Ovis aries: one gene and its partners. The protein of the gene in region 3 binds, or shares a complex with, the protein of the main gene of each other region. Links are inferred from orthologs where the notes say so. Each region holds a gene or a part of one and is shown on either strand. Other genes may lie near its edges. The genes, in order: PPP4C, PPP4R3B and PPP4R2.

Region 1 (4,533 bases), on a different chromosome or scaffold from region 3:
CAGGCTGAGACTGGTGGTGTCAAGAACTTTCATTTGCCCAGTGGATACCGAGACTCAAGGCCTTGAAACTGCAAAGGCCTGGGAGCTGCATTTGCTCCTATGAAAAACATCAGCAGTTGAGAACAGCAGAGGGTTTTGAATGAGGTGGTCTTCAGGATGAAGTATAGCTTTGTCACCTGTAAATGGTATGACCCTGGTCCAGTCATTCTTATGTCTCCAAGTCTGAAATTCTTGCAGAGCTCAGATGAGATTCTGCATATCCAGAGACAGCATCTCATTCTTTGGTCAATGGTCAGCAGTGAAAGTGAGCAAGTGTGAGCCCTGAGAGGGCTGATGCCGCGGCCTGGTTCCCACATTGCGCTGAGGCCTTGCTGGCACGGAGGCAGGTTTTGACCGAGTCTGTGGAAAGGGCTGGTGTAAAGTCTCAGGAGATCTGTTCTCAGTTCCAGCCACCCTCCAGCTTTGTGACCTGGATCCTGCCCCTTTTCTCTCTAAACCTCAGTTTCTTTGTCTGATGAGGATGGGAAGAACCTCCCAAGTCAGTTGGAAAAGTATTGTAAGCAGTGGTGTGAGGATGTTTGGTACAAGATGCAGGACAGGCGGGAGAGCCTGGTTGCTCTCTGGCCCCTTGTATCACCGCCAGTGGCTCTTCCCATTCCTGGAAACCAGGGCACACCTCCCTGGAGCTGCCTTAGTTATGCAGTGCACCCTGAGCCCAGGGAGCTCCTGGTCTGGTGGGAAGGGACTGGCCGAGAGAGTGATGGCTGAGCAGGTGCCTCCCACATCAGACTCGCTTAATAAGAGCCAGACCCCAGAGTAGGCCGCCTTGGTTCAGTTCCTGTCTGTGTGGCCACAGCCGCTTTCTTCATCTGAGCCGTGGGAATCATTATAGCACCTGCCTTTGAGGGTGGTGGTTTGAGTGCCCGCATCATCCATGCAGAACTTTTTTAACGACTGACCTGGCACGTGGTGCGAACTGCTGCGTCCTTGGCTCCTCTGATCGTCAAGGACGAAATCTGGAAGCACAGCGCTACTTAACGTTGGGTGTCCGTAATGGGCAGTGATTTACATGTCAAGCTCGTTCAGGTAGAAGTAGATCACACTGCAAGGAAAGAGGGAGCACAGAGTCCTCGCTTCCTCTGAATGATAGAAGAGTGGCAACAGCATATCGCCTTGAAGGTGGATCTGATGGCTGGCCTGCCCAGGGCACCACCCTTGTGCCCAAGAACATTCCAGGGGAAGAAGGCCCCTGGGGTGGGGAGAGAGGGGCTGTAAGAGCCCAGCCAAGGCACTGTGTGGACAGGAGGAGGAGCTCTTGTCTTCTGGGAGTCGTTGCCAGATGTGTGAAAGGGAGCAGCCAGGAGGGTCAAGGTCAGGAAAGTCCTAGACTCCTTGGGAAGGCCTTGGATGCTGAACAAGAGCTGGGGCTTTGGCCTGTCAACTGTGGGGAACCACAGAAGGGTCTCGAACTTGGGGGCTGTGATTAGCCTTGCCTGGGGGAATTGTACACCTCCCACCTGCCCTATGGAGGTTCACGCCTCATCCTCTCTTCCCCTGCAGAAAAGGTCAGAAATTGGGTTGGGCTGGCCCGGCTCTGGTAACTTTGGTCTTCTGTCTCCAGAGAGATCTTGGTGGAGGAGAGCAACGTGCAGAGGGTGGACTCTCCAGTCACAGTGAGTTCCCGCTGTCCCCCCACAGCCTAGCTCGGTCTGTTAGGCCTGTGGGCGTCCTCCTTAGTCTTGTGGGCTCCAGGGTCTACCCCTCATCCCTGGGAGCCCCATCTTCAAGAGAGCCTTGCTAGAAGAAATGGTGGTTGTGGGCATGGTCTTTGGAGTCACTGGAGGGATGCTCTTGGCCTGGGCAGAAGGACTCTTAATTTGGTGAGTGAGTGAACTCCACGTGTTCCTGTGTGTTACTAGTGACTTTATTCTGGGTGTCTGGAGGGGAGTAGGGAGAGGAGGAGGCCAGGTTCTCTGGGAGCTGCAAGTCTAGCTGGAAAGAATTTGCTCTAGCTCTTGCCCACAGAATAGTTGGCACTCAGAGTGGGATGGGGGGATTGGGGTGGGAGAGGAGATTCTCGACTCTGGGAAGTAGAAGCTTTCAATCCAGGGAAGATCTCCTAGAAGAGGAAATGGTAACAGCTCCATATTCTTAGCTGGAAAATTCCACAGACAGAGGAGCCTGGTGGGCTACAGTCCATGGGGTTGCACAGAGTTGGGCATGGCTGAGCACATACACACACTCTCTCTTGGCTTGGCCGAGATGGATAAGGATCTTCTAAAGCAGGGACTTCCAGGTGGCTCTTGCCCTCTGAGAGGTCCCACATTCTGTCTGTGGAGTGTGTTTCTCTAAATAAATCCATTTCTTACCCGTAAATAAATGAAGCCAGGACTTCCCTGGTGGTCCAGCAGTTAAGACTCTGTGCTTCCACTGCAGGAGTTGTGGGCTTGTGGGTTTAATCCCTGGTGGGAACTAAGATCCCATGTGCCATGCAATGAGGCCAGAATTTTTAAAAAAAATAAAGCAGTAGGGTGTTTTTGAAGGACAGCCCCTGGCAGAAAGGCTTTCAGACTCTGAGTTCTGACCTGCCTCCTCACTTCCAGGTATGTGGTGACATCCATGGACAATTCTATGACCTCAAGGAGCTGTTCAGAGTGAGTGTGGGGAATGCCAGGAAAGGTGACCCAGGGGATGACTGCAAGACCCCTTTAGTTGAGAGTGGAGACTTTGGTGATGGGGTTGGGGGTCAGAGGCCTCTAGTTAGGTAGGCCCATTGTGGAAGAAGGGCCTCGACTTGACTGGAAATGGGCCGGTGCAGTGGGTTGGGGCGAGTTTAGGACCAAGCTGAACCTTCTTCCTCCCTCCCCAGGTGGGTGGCGATGTCCCTGAGACTAACTACCTCTTCATGGGGGACTTTGTGGATCGTGGTTTCTACAGTGTCGAAACGTTTCTCCTGCTGCTGGCACTTAAGGTGGGAACCCGCTGGCTTCTGGAGCCAAGACCTGGTCTGATTTGGCCTGCATCCTTTCTGCCCTCATTTCCTGCCCCATCTGCCCCCAAGTCTTGAGCTGTGCTGCTGGTGATAGACCGTTGCTGCTTGGGTGGTCAGGCAGCTTTCCTTGACTTGGGGGCATCTGATGAGGTCGAGGTGGGGACGGCATCATAGCGGGAAGGAAGAGAGGCTCACCCTGTTCAGAAAGTGGCCCGAGTGGAGTTCAGCTGGATACAGTATCCATTGGTAGGAGAGAGGTCGTAAGAGGCCAGATAACAAGGTGCTCTAAATGTCTTGCTAAGGGCTTGGTCCATACCTGGTGGATGAAGGAGGGACGGTTAGGTTTGTAGTTGAAGTGGGGGGTGGGAGGGAGTGAGAGGATTTGGCTTTGGATCCTCTGGAGGTGGGTCGGGGTGCCCGTGAGGTGAGTGTGGCACGATCCGGGCAGAGATGACTGGAATCTGGACTGGGGCGGTGGTGACGAGGGTGGAGCAGGGCTGGCAGACACGAGGACGTCGAGGAGGGAGGGACAGGCCCTGCATGGTGACTGCCTGCAGGTTCGCTATCCTGACCGCATCACCCTGATCCGGGGCAACCACGAGAGCCGTCAGATCACCCAGGTCTACGGCTTCTACGACGAGTGTCTGCGCAAGTACGGCTCAGTGACCGTGTGGCGCTACTGCACTGAGATCTTTGACTACCTCAGCCTGTCGGCCATCATCGATGGCAAGGTAGGCCCGCCGTGCAGCTCCCTGGGGACGGGAGGGCCGGCGGGGCTACAAGAGGCGCCGGGCCCCAGCCGGTCTTGCTCTCCTCGTAGATCTTCTGTGTGCACGGGGGGCTCTCCCCCTCCATCCAGACGCTGGACCAGATCCGGACAATTGACCGGAAGCAAGAGGTGCCCCACGACGGGCCCATGTGTGACCTGCTCTGGTCCGACCCTGAAGGTGAGGGCAAGAGCTCTGCTCTTAGCTTGGTGAGTGACCGAGGGGATCCTGTGGTTAGAGCAGGTGCCTGGAAGGGGTGGCCCTGGGCAGGTGAGTTTGGGGCAGAGTGGGGCTGGTCTTCACTGGCATTGGTGCTTGATGACCAGTGGGCTGGCATCCTCTATGAGGAGTGGGGATGAGGGTAGCTGGGTGCTTTGAGCTAGGGGGTTGGGGGGCATGTACGTCATACCTCAGGGGCTTGTTGAATGTGAATCATCAGCTTCCTGAATGTGAAGGGGCTGCTGCAAGGATCAGGCTCCCAGAATGATTGCCCCCAGAACCCACCTGCCAGTGCAGGAGATGTAAGAGATGCGGGTTCAATCCCTGGGTCGGGAAGATCCCCAGGAGGAGGGCATGGCAACCCACTCCAGTATTCTTGCCTGGAGAATCCCAAGGACAGGAGCCTGGTGGGCTACAGTCCATAGGGTCACAAAGTCAGACATAACTGAAGTCACTTAGCACGTACACACAAGGCGCCCTCATGTTGTGGGTGTTAGCTAGTATGGAGCATCGCCCAGATGAGAATTAAACCTCCCAGTACCAGTCTGGGCCTCT
Region 2 (5,976 bases), on a different chromosome or scaffold from region 3:
TACTCCCCTAATGGCATTAAAAAATTTTTTTTAAGTAAAGATCTCTCTCCTATATTATTTAAATTTTCTAGCAGAGTAACAGGACACACAAAATTATGTCCCAAAGTTTCTAAAAATATTCACAGAACCACTGTGTAATTCTGAACTAATGATGATGGATTATTTTATACACAAACCTAAACCATAAGGGGATCTTTCCAGTTAAAACAACTAAAGGATTTCATATACAATTTGAAAAGACTCCATAATATAACTAATTTGTAGGGAGTCGTACTTAAGAAAACAGTTCCTGAGAATTTTATATTTATGCAGGTGGAAAACAAAATGATTACAAAATATTTAGTCACGAAGCAAGCAAGCAAACAAACAAAAAAAACAAACTCAAAGTGGCTATCTGGTATAAGTCAGTATAAAGACAGAGAATAACCATCTGACTAGCTGACTTAAAAGAAATATCTTCAGGGTTCAACACAGAATAAATGTTTGATTCTCTCTCAAAAAAACACATAGTATTTTATAAGCAGAAAAAAACACTATTACTTGAATATTAAAAATTCAAAAATATTTCAAATTACTGATTATGAATGTATTGTATACACAAAATAATTGTTTTAACAGTAAGACTTTTACTAACAATGCACCGTGCAATAGACATATAATTTCATTTCTCCAACTGTAAAGTATTTGTTTCTGAGCATCAAAATTTTCACTGATCTTGAAGAGAGTAGGCACTGATGATATAAATATAATGATCTTTTCCTTCAAATTATTTATTTTTTCCTTTAAAAACCTCTACCATATTCACTTTACACACTGCACACACACACAAAATACACTGGAAAATTATCTTTTCCTCCAAAAATCTCTGCCATATTCACTTTACACATCAAACACACTAAAAATCAGTAATAATCCAAATTTCTAACAACAGGTGTATATATCATACAGTGTTTTTAAAAAAAGCCCAACTAGATCTGCATTGTTAACATGAACAAATCTTCAAAACAGTACTGAGTGAAAAATGAAAGCTGCAGAGTACATGTAAGAATAGGAGATCAATTGTGCAAAGTTTAAAACAAACAAAAGACTACATATTCTTTATGGATACATACATATGCAGAAAAGGTATAAAAGCATGTACAGAAATAATACACATCAATTTCAGAATAGTGGTTACCTATAGGGAGGATGGAGAATGGATAGAATGAAATGGGTACAAAGAGAGTTTTAATTCTATCCACAATGTTCAACACTACAAAAAGATTAGAAACAGATATGGTAAAATGTTAACATTGTTAAATTTGGAGGTGTTACACAGACACTCATTATATTATTCTCTGTACTTTTCAATTTTGAAATTTTTCATAATAAAAAAGAAAACATTCACAGAATAAAGGAAAGGTTGAATCACTGCTGCCATTTCCAGATTAGATAATTAGGCACACTAATACACAACATAGATTTTCTTTTCCCAGATAAGACAATAAATATTAACAGAAAACATTACATAATAAGCAGTGTACACTTTCATAAAATATCAATTGGTTATTATATTAAAAATATACAATTAAAGAACAGGATGTTAAGTGCTTCTACTTCAAAGTTTTACCTCTGTATGAGTCAAAGAATCTACTTTCACACCACAAACAGGCTTTCCTTGCTTTAAAGAGTACTCCTATGAATTTTCTTTTATGCCATTTCCTTTAACTGTGATTGAGAATAAAAGGCTTAGTGTACAGTGTATAAAAGATACCTGACTAGCTGCAGTTAAGTAAGACTAATGAATACATTGTATTCTACTAGAAACTAACAGTGGCTCAATTCAAAGATAATAAATTACTGCCAGTACAAAAGCTTGCACTTTTCAGTTTGAAAACTTTTAATCTGCAAGGAAAATACATACAGTATGTAACTTTGTTTACCAAATGTTTTTTTTCTTGTCAGGAAAGCTTTCCCATTCTTTGTCTGATTAATACTTCCTTGATCACAGATGAAGTCTTTCAAATTAAAGATAAACAACTACTTGCCTGCTGTTTTTGATATGCAGTGTTTGGATTTATCTTTGATTCCAAGAGTAGTGATCCTGAAAGTTAAAAAAATAATATTTATAAGTTTCAACTTACAAAACCCTGAGTAAAACATCAGAATACACATTAAAAAAAAAAACTTTTTTCTTTCCCAGGCAAGACATCTTAAGTCATCAAATATACTCCAGTTTACATTTTTCTCTCAAGATCTGGACTTTGCATTAGAACATATCATTCTATCCCCATAATACTCTTAAGGGAAAAAAATCCATCTAAGACCAACATTCAGACCAAGAATATACAGAGACTAGATGACTTATAGTTTTATTGAAAGGAAACTTTTTAAGGTCTAAATGACCACCTGAAACCAAATTCTTTTTAACAAAGTTATTTTTATTGCATTTCCAGTTTAACAAATAAAACAAATTACAAAGTACCACAACAGGGATCTAAATACTTTGCACACAAATTACAAAACTGCATTTATCCTTTTCTAAGAACAAAGGCCACCTCATGTAAAAATAAATGTCTATGATTACTTTAAAAAAAAGGTGCAAGAGTACAAGATGTGTCGAAAATAAACCGAAGACTATTATTCTTTTATTTGCACGTTATCAGCTGCTCAAATCCAGCGGTCAGATTACAGTGAGGAAGGTGTCTTCATTAAGGCTATACATTTTATCATTTAAAAATATTTCACATTAGACTCGTACAATAAATCAAGGAATACAAGTTTACAGTCTGGTCTGTTGTCCTAACTTGTTTAAGTTGTAAAGTATTCACTTGTTCACAGCACCCTCTACAAAGATAGCCTGGAGGGATCCCAGTCTGAAGATGTATGTGCTTGTGAGTGCATGTATCGTGGCAACAATCTGCAATAACCCCAGGAAAAAGGCGTCTTTTGGTTTTTCCCAGCACCTGTCTACTGTGGCAACTGGAGCTTGTTAATAAAATCAATTTTTTAAAAAAGAGTAACGTTTCATTAAATTTTTTGTATCAGAGATAAAATGTGTAAGAAAATAAAGGGGGACGGGGAGGGTCAGAAGGAGAGCACTAAACTGTTTTTCATTACTTCCTCCCTTCCCTCCCACACTCTCCCCGCTTCTTTAAGAGGCCAGACTGCAGAGAAAGGGATCAAGTGTTTTAATAAGGCTAGCAAGAGGAGGAAACAGAGACTCGGCGTACGACTGAGGGTCAATCCCGACAAAGTAGTTTGCTGTTACCTTACTGAAGTGAAGACACAAAACCAATGCGCTGTTCCAAGTGGCTGGCAGTAACAGTACTCGGCTCAGGGCCTAAACCCCAGGCTGTGCCCAAACCGGAGGCATTGTCCCCTATGCTACGGTTCCAATAACCTTACCGTCGGACTCTGCCCGAACCAGCAGCGACATTCCCTTGAGCTCCTCCACATAGGTAGAGGAGACGTGCCCGGTGCCTCGGTCGTCCCATTGCCGGTCTTCGTTCAGGGTATAGACCTTCACTCGCCGCCGCGTATCCGACATGGTGACTGCTGTCCCCACTGTTCCAGCCGCCGCCTCCTTGCTCACCTCCTTTACGCCCCTCACTCTTGAGAGACGGTAGCGGCGGTGGCGGCAGCGGCGGCGGCGGCTCCGGAGAGGCCCGAGTTCACCATGGCTCCCAGGTTCAGCCGCGGGAAAGGGCAACAGGAGCCACTGAGACCTTGCCGTCCAGATTCCCAGTTACCTCTCACTTCACCCCCGAACGCACCCACCCTCCCCACCCTTTACCCCCCAGAGCTCGCTCGCTCTCCCGCCGCCGCCGCGCCGCCGCCGCGGTAACTACTAAAGACCCGCCATCTTGTAACCCGATTCTCTCTGCCTTTCTCTTCCTCCTCCAGCAGGTTCGCACGGGCTGTCCTAGCAGGGGCTACGGCGGCCGACGAGTCCAACGTGTGACGCCTCTGTTTCTGCACGCGCTACCCAGGTCGGCCAAGCTCAGTATTCTCGCGAGGAGGGGTAGTGGAGTGAGGTGGGTGGGTCTAAGTGCGACTTCCTCCTCTCTCGGCCCCGCCTGCAGGCGTGGGCTCTCGCCAGGTGGGCGGTTCTCGCGAGCTCCGGGTCTTCGCTGGTGCCGCGAGACTTCTCTGCACTGGCGGCGAGGGCGGAGTTGTGGCTTCGGCTTCGTGCGGTTTGTTGGGGCTGCGCCCGGCGTGTGAGCAGCCGTGGACTCTAGCTCTGTGGAAAAAACGAAGCAAGTCTGGGAGGTACGCATCCTTGGACGGGACTCACCCTGAGCAGAAGGGAAGGAAATGTGCTCGCACTCCATAATGGAAGCTCGCCCTTTCAGCCTGTGAGAGAAAAATAGTTTAAACCTCTTTCTGTGAAGACGTTAGCCCTTTACTGCGACTCGAAACCCACTGAAACTCGCTAAGGAGTCTGCTACAGTTAAGCATCTCCTCAGGATGTTCTGTGGCTATCCAGGAGATTATAACATCGTACAAAAGTGCATTGGCAGTTTATTTCTCGTTCAGGCGTTATTTCTTGTCAGGCTTTTGGTGGCTGGCATACTTTCCGCTTCTTGAAAACAGTGTCCTTCCTGCGTTGGTAACCTCGGAACGTAAGTCTTCAGATAAGTTTAGGCAAGTGGCGGGGAACTACCTTCCTAACACATCTAAGAGCACTGTTTCCATATCTTTGAGTGTCTCCTGCTGGCATTTCTAGCGTTCTCTCTCGGGAGGTCTTCCGCACTGAATAAGCGAGGGGGCAGTCCTCTGGACGTTCACTTCGGTTGTCACACATCACATTAATTGTCAGACACTGCGCGGTATTGTTTGTCAGTCGCTGTTCGTTCTTGGTAGATTTCTTTTTGTTCGTTTTTAAAGACAGTTTCAGTTTGTTCTGCCGCCAGCTCTTGACAACCCTTTAGTCTGAAGGGTGAGAATCAAGCGAGATCGACAGGTTTTACCCTGCGGCGCATCTTGGGAGTTGTAGTCATTCCTTACCAATGGTGTTGTCAAAGCGTGCTTCTCTTTTGACCAAATCTTGTGCGTAAACCCAGCATACGAACTGACACGTGACATGCTTACACAGAGTAGGCTCCTGATGAAAAATAAACTCTCATTTCAAAATCTGGCTACATAGGGTTTTCTTTTAATCTAAAGAGAACCTAAGAAAATACACTTGAATTTAAGTAGTTACATGTGTTGGGGATTTCCTAGGTGGTGCAGGAGGTCGCAAAGAGTCGGACACGACTGAGCGACTGAACTGAACTGCAGGGGTAAAGAATTGCAGGAGACGAGATGCAGGTTCGATTCCTGGGTGGGGAAGATCCTGTGGAGAAGGAAATGGCAACCCACTCTAGTATTCTTGCCCGGGAAAACCCCAGGAACAGAGAAGCCTGGTCGGCTACAGTCCATGGGGTCACAGAAGAGTCTGAAATGACTTAGTGACTGAGCACAGATGCGTGCAATATATGTAGCAAAAGAGCACATTAATTGCTGTGACTAATGTGCACAAAATGCATTTTGAACCCAGAGAAAATAACATCTCTATCTCAGGTCAGAGAAGGCTTCACACTGGTAACTTTGGGACCTGATGTTAGAGGATCCCTGAGTGGAAGTTTGGCTTGAAAGGTGTTTAAGGCTGTGGGGACCAGGTGAACAAAGTCATAATGTGTTACTGGCCTAAAAGAATTTATGAGCAAGGTATGTATTAATATTGAAAATGAGAACTATATAGAAGTCACTTTGACACCATACGTTAAAAGCTTAATATCCTATGCTGCTACTGCTGCTAAGTTGCTTCAGTCGTGTCCGACTCTGTGCGACCCCACAGACGGCAGCCCACCAGGCTCTACCATCCCTGGGATTCTCCAGACAAGAACACTGGAGTGGGTTGCCATTTCCTTCTCCAATGCATGAAAGTGAAAAGTGAAAGTGAAGTCGCTCAGTAAGTGTCCCACTCTTAATTGAAATCACAGGAGTCATTTC
Region 3 (5,728 bases):
GAGAAAAGAATGCATACAAAGACGCATACACGAATGTTCATAGTTTGTTTTTTAAAACCTGGAAATAATGCGAATGTCCATCAACAAGTGAATGAACCAAAATCTGTAGGATATCCATGTAAAGACTACTACTAAAAAATAAAAAGGAATGAATTATTGATTTCTGGACATGGAGTCATCTTAAGTCACCCTGAGTAAAAAAAGGCAGATATAAAGCAATTATCCTCCAATTTAAAAAAAAATTGTTAAAAGACAAAGAATACACTGTATAATTCTATTTACATACAATTTCAGAACAGTTTAATCAGTTTAACCATAAATGATGACAGAAACTGCAAATTTCCATATCAAAAGTTAAGGCACGCTCAAATTGATTAAAAAACCAAAGGCTAAATAAAACTAAATGTAAAACCACTGAATCATAAATTTAAAAATATCTTCCAAAATCCATAAAGAATCTAACACCATCAGTCATTTTAATACAAAAATAGTAAGACCTATAGTAAGACCTAGAGATTAGCCGGGAGGGAGGAGGAGTGTGGACAAGGATGGGAAGACTGATGATCTTCTGAAGTCCTCTATTAGATAAATAATTGTTCAGAAAAATCAGGTTAAATTTTCCAAGCCACTTGGTGATCCAGTCAAACAGGATATTAAAAAGCTTCCTTGAAGAAACTTTCAACTATTTATACATTTATGGCCAATGCACTATATCAAGAAGGGAAGGCAATCTGCACAGACCTAGAAAGAGGTTTTAAGTATTTAACTCCAAACAATCTTGTTTATTAAAACTCTGAAGTAAAATGCTTCTCCTCCTGATATTGTAGAGGTATAAGTTAGGACCAACTAACAATTAATACAAATTAGTTATTCAGCATCAATTTTTTAAAAATCAAGATGTTCTAAGAGACTATAACTCAGAAGCAAAAATGACTTTTTTTTAATTCTGAAGGGTTCCACTTTTTTAAGGCAGTAAGTATAAACTTAAGATTGAATGCATCAGTCAAATTCCTAAGGTGACTGGTAATTTTAATAAGCACCAAGGAGTTTCAGTTTGTTGGCATGACCACTAAAGAGGTTCCCCCTGCCCCTTTTAAAAGCAGGCTAGTTATCAGGAGACTATGCTGCAACCATAAGCAAATCTTGTAAGAAATGAACATTTGCTAATAAAGCCAAACAAAAGGATACATAATTATGTAATGTACATAATTGCTGAAGCTTACACTTTTTTTATTAGGCCTCAAAAAGAATTTTTAAAAATCCCACTTTTTAACACTACACCCTCCAAAACCTCTCCCCTTCCTGCTCCCTACCCCTATACAAAGACACGACTACAAATCAGTCACCAAATCTTCACTGCTCTCTACAAATGAACAGTACAAGAATGAAAACAACTTCTGCAAAACACACTGGACACTATGAAACAATGTTCCTTTGAAAACAATCTTAACTTCACAGTGTAAGTTTTAGATTCATAAACGTTCCTTTGAAAACAGTCTTAACTTCACAGTATAAGTTTCAGATTCACAACATTTGGAATCAAGCCTAATAAAATGCTGAGCATATGCTAACAAGCTAGCTATCCTAGAAAGTTTACAGGACAGTCAAGACTGTAGCATCTGGAATTTGTCAGATAATCACCCTGAGTGCCCAAGAGAATAAGCAGAAGTGATACTTCCAGCACCCACATATATAAATGACAACAAAAGGCTGGATACAGGACAATATGAGAAAATACCACCACTAAAAAAAAAAAAAAAAAAAAAAGAAGCTGAAATAGAATCAAAGCCACAGAATTCTGGAAATAAGCCCGCTTGTTAATGGCCAAAAAGAGTCACAATGGAACATGCATTCTTCCTTTCTCTGGCTGTTCTAGAGGAATACATTCTAAATGTGCAAAAGCATAAAGAAAAATTTTAATACAATTTAAAAATTCATTACAGAGCATGGTGTGAAGTGAATGAAGCATATACACTGAGTAAATGCTTTAAATATGGGGCTTGTACAATTTAGACAGATGGATTATTCAATGCTTCTGAAATACACTTCTGTCCCTTTCCTAAGAGATTCTTAAGGACACACAGGTTTATGAATACGATTATGTTTTCAACTCACATTGTTTCTCCAGTCTTGGCTACATGACAAAGAAACTGATCCAGGACCGGACAAACTTCCTTTTTCCCCCTCTTCTCAAAATCTAGATAAGGGAAGAAAGAAGTTATTAGTATTTTTCAAAGTCCACCAACCATTTCCAATGCCCTTTAAAAACAAACTTTCCTCTCCAGTCATTCCTCATATTAAGAAACTAATTTTATTTTTAATTTAAAAAGCCTCTCAAATAAATTCCACCTGACTCTCCAACTTCAAATGTCACTCTTCACAGATAACGAGACCCTTCCTAAAGGGGGCACTTCTCCACCAACCATCCTTAATGCAGTCCGGGGGATTCATCTCAAAGACCTGTTAAAATACAAACCCCAGATCCCAACTCCCCCCAAAGTGTTTACGTGAGGTTCATAAATCTGCGTTATATGAAACACCAGCTCCCTCTTGCAGTCATCAACCAATGATCCTTGGTATCAAAGTCTAATTCTCAAAACGCTGCAATCACGGTATTCTAAGTTCTCAAGCCTGTTGCTCGGATGGCGAGCAATTCGGAACTGGGAAGGCGACCACTTCAGAATTGGGGCGCGTGGAAGATGACTCCAGAAGCTCTGAAAAAAGGGCCTCCAGAGACACTTGAAAGTTGCTCTGCCGCCCCCTTACCCCCGCCCCGAAACCTTTCACTTTCCCTCTCCCCACGATGTCCGGTGTGCAGGGGGATGATAGAGAACGAAGCCTGCCTGCGAGGGGCTGCGGGCCCCCGAAACGTTCACGGGGAGTGGGAGAGGGGCCGGGGCCCCCTCGAGAGCTTCCCGACTCCCCTCCCCCAGCCCAGACGCCGGCGGCCGACACAAAGCCCAGAGCGGGGCGGGAGGGAGCTGCCCACGGGGCTCCCCGCCCCCGGGAAAGCGGGAGGGGGGATGGGAGCCGGGGAAGCGCGCCCTCCCCCAGCCTGGCCCCGCGGAGTCACTCGCCCAGAAGGGAGCGGAGAGGCGGCCACGGAGGGTAAGGAGGAAGGGAGAGGGGGCAGCTACCCCCACCTTTCAGCGCCTCCTGCAGCCTCTCGACGTCCATGGCTTCCCGGAGTCCCTCGCAGCCTCCGCCTCCTTCCGCAGGTCTCCCGGGGACCGGAAGGCCTCCCCCCACCCCCCCGACGCCCTCCCCCTCCCTCGCACACACTCCGGCACGCAGGCGATTCGGGGGGGGCACCGAAGGGAGCTGGGGGAAGCGAGCGAGAGAGCGAGACCGAGAGAGCGAGCACCTCCCCGAGCCGCTACCACCAGCCCTCCAACATGGCGCCCGGCACGTCACCGCGCGCACGCTCCTCGCCGCCGTCCTCGCGCCCGCGGCGCGTCCGGACCCGGAGCCCGAGAGCGCGTGCGCGGCGGAGGCGTGCGGCCGCGGCCGGCCCCCAGACCCGGCAGGGCCGCCCCGCCTATCCCTTGGGTTGGCCGGAGCTGCCTGCACCAAGCTGGAGGCGGAGTGGTCTCGGCGGCGGGGTGGGCGCAGTTTGACTGTGGATCCCAGCTGCTTGCTAGCTGTGTGACCTTGAGCAATTTAATCAGTCCCTCTGAGCCTCCCTTTCCCCATCTGTACAATAGTGGGAGTAGTATGAACCACTCTTTACGGTTGCTGTGAAAATTAAGTGAGACTGTATACACACAGAACACGCATTAAAAAAAAAACTGAGTATCACTAGTAATCGTGACAAAATTAACTCCCTGCCTGAACCCAAAGCACCTCAATGGCCCAGGCTTGAAAAGAAGGAGTGAGCGCAGCAAAAGCATGAGAAGTTTAACCAATGGAACCAGCTGAATATAAAGTCCAACGCAACTATTTATTAATAATACTTGTGTGACCTAGTTGCTTAAACTCACATAGCTTCTGTTTTCTCATCCACAAAATGGAAATTCGTGAAACTGCGACAATAAAGCATTGAGCGCGTGTGGTGCCTGGAATATAAGCACTCAAGTTCATGTGGCTGCTGTTTTTATTATCATTATGGTTTTGATTACATTACATAAGCGCCCAGGAAGTTAGGGCGGAGGCCTCAGAAGTCCTCTCCCAGCCCTGACATCTTACAAACGGGATAGCTGAGGCGTAGACACGTAGTCTAGCAAAACAGTAGAACCTAGAACCTCTGGCAACCAGCTAGTGTGTGAACATCTTTATTACTCTCCCTTATCTGTGAGCTTTTCAAGAAAAGTTACTGAATTGTTCCACCATCGCTTCTCAAATCCTAACACAAACCCATGGAAGGAAGGGAGAGGGGCGGCAGGGAGGACAGAAAGCTAATTCTTGACTGGTGTTAGAAAGTGCAAATTTAGACACAACCATCACAAGTGTTGACCCTCTTAAAAGATAGTGGCTCTGACCCTGACCGTAGGTGGCAGACGTAGGGAAAAGCCCCACTACAAAAAAATTTCTTCAATTTTGCCATCAGAGAACTAGTCCCTAGTATCTTTAGATCCTTTCACTGTTCTAAGCATCCTGCTCAGTTACAAAGAGCCTTGTAGGAGATGTATTAGAATGGTGTCTTCACCCTGGGCCAGTGCTTTAAATGCACCCATGTTTGCGTTTGGTTGCTTCAGTCTTGTCTGACTCTGCAACACTCTGAACTAAAGCCTGCCGCGTTCCTCTGTCCATGGGATTATCCCAGCAAGAATATTGGAGTAGGTTGCCACGCCCTCCTCCAGGGGACCTTCCCCACCCAGGGATCGAACTCACATCTCCTGCATTGCAGGTGGATTGTTTATGGCTGAGCCACCAGGAAAGCCCATTAAATACATTGGATTTAGTTTATTGTCCTCTGGAGAAGAAAATGGCAACCCACTCCAGTATTCTTGCCTGGAGAATTCCAAGGACAGAGGAGCCTTTCCAGTCTGAAGGGGCCCGTCCTCTACATAGCAAAGCTTAGCCTCCCTCTGCCACCCTGGACTGTCTTTAAGCAGGGGTCTTCTGGTAGGAACTGTGTGGAACAATACAGTCACCACTAGCCATGTGTAGGTATTTAAACTTAAATTAAATAAAATTTAAATTCAACTCCTGAGTTCCTCAATACAATTCAATTCCTCAGTCTTGCTAGCCACATTTCCTGTGTTCAGAAGCCCCATGAGGCTAGTGACTTTTGCATTGTACAGCAGAGAAAGAAAATTCCATGATCGCCTAAAGTTCTTCTGGAACTTTCTTTTAGAGAACATAAGATGCTAATTTCTTACACCTTGCTCTGTCCCTTTTCATCAGCTGTTCCCCTCACTTGGAGATGCCTCCAAAGTGACTTCTAATAACTGGATAAGGTCCTTGAAAGGAGATAAAGTACACACAGCAGCCACAGCCTAAGGGAATCAGGGAAAACTTTCCCTAGAGGAAGTAGTTGTGTTTAAGCTGAGAGCTGAATTCTGAAAGGAAAGTAGCCCAAGTGAAGTGGAGAGGAGAAACATTCAAAGAGAAAAACTGTAGATGTGCACGGGCCTTGAAATGAGATCGAGGAGTGAGGTGGTTTCAGTCTGGCTAAAGCTGAGAGTGCAATGGAGGGAGAGGCAAGGGATAAGGCTGAGGAAATATTTTATTTGGTTCCTTTCTTCCTTCTTCCTGGAAACTTTTCTCTAGCCAGAGCTCATCTCAC

Evidence for each region.
Region 1: PPP4R2 (region 3) and PPP4C share a complex: the UniProt entries of both Homo sapiens proteins name them as parts of the PP4 complex. The link is inferred for Ovis aries from reciprocal best matches to the Homo sapiens genes PPP4R2 and PPP4C.
Region 2: PPP4R2 (region 3) and PPP4R3B share a complex: the UniProt entries of both Homo sapiens proteins name them as parts of the PP4 complex. The link is inferred for Ovis aries from reciprocal best matches to the Homo sapiens genes PPP4R2 and PPP4R3B.

The regions. Positions count from the first base shown.
Region 1 is NC_056077.1:26,717,544-26,722,076, reverse strand, and holds part of PPP4C (serine/threonine-protein phosphatase 4 catalytic subunit), read left to right. Parts: intron 1-1,621; coding exon 1,622-1,673; intron 1,674-1,715; exon of another isoform or gene 1,716-1,880; intron 1,881-2,603; coding exon 2,604-2,654; intron 2,655-2,869; coding exon 2,870-2,971; intron 2,972-3,549; coding exon 3,550-3,723; intron 3,724-3,812; coding exon 3,813-3,939; intron 3,940-4,533. UniProt on the Homo sapiens protein: Protein phosphatase that is involved in many processes such as microtubule organization at centrosomes, maturation of spliceosomal snRNPs, apoptosis, DNA repair, tumor necrosis factor (TNF)-alpha signaling, activation of c-Jun N-terminal kinase MAPK8, regulation of histone acetylation, DNA damage checkpoint signaling, NF-kappa-B activation and cell migration.
Region 2 is NC_056056.1:68,467,064-68,473,039, reverse strand, and holds the start of PPP4R3B (serine/threonine-protein phosphatase 4 regulatory subunit 3B), read right to left. Parts: upstream 3,865-5,976; 5' UTR 3,530-3,864; coding exon 3,388-3,529; exon of another isoform or gene 3,251-3,387; intron 2,084-3,250; coding exon 2,028-2,083; intron 1-2,027. UniProt on the Homo sapiens protein: Regulatory subunit of serine/threonine-protein phosphatase 4 (PP4). May regulate the activity of PPP4C at centrosomal microtubule organizing centers.
Region 3 is NC_056072.1:28,810,463-28,816,190, forward strand, and holds the start of PPP4R2 (serine/threonine-protein phosphatase 4 regulatory subunit 2), read right to left. Parts: upstream 3,405-5,728; 5' UTR 3,178-3,404; coding exon 3,144-3,177; intron 2,198-3,143; coding exon 2,116-2,197; intron 1-2,115. UniProt on the Homo sapiens protein: Regulatory subunit of serine/threonine-protein phosphatase 4 (PP4). May regulate the activity of PPP4C at centrosomal microtubule organizing centers.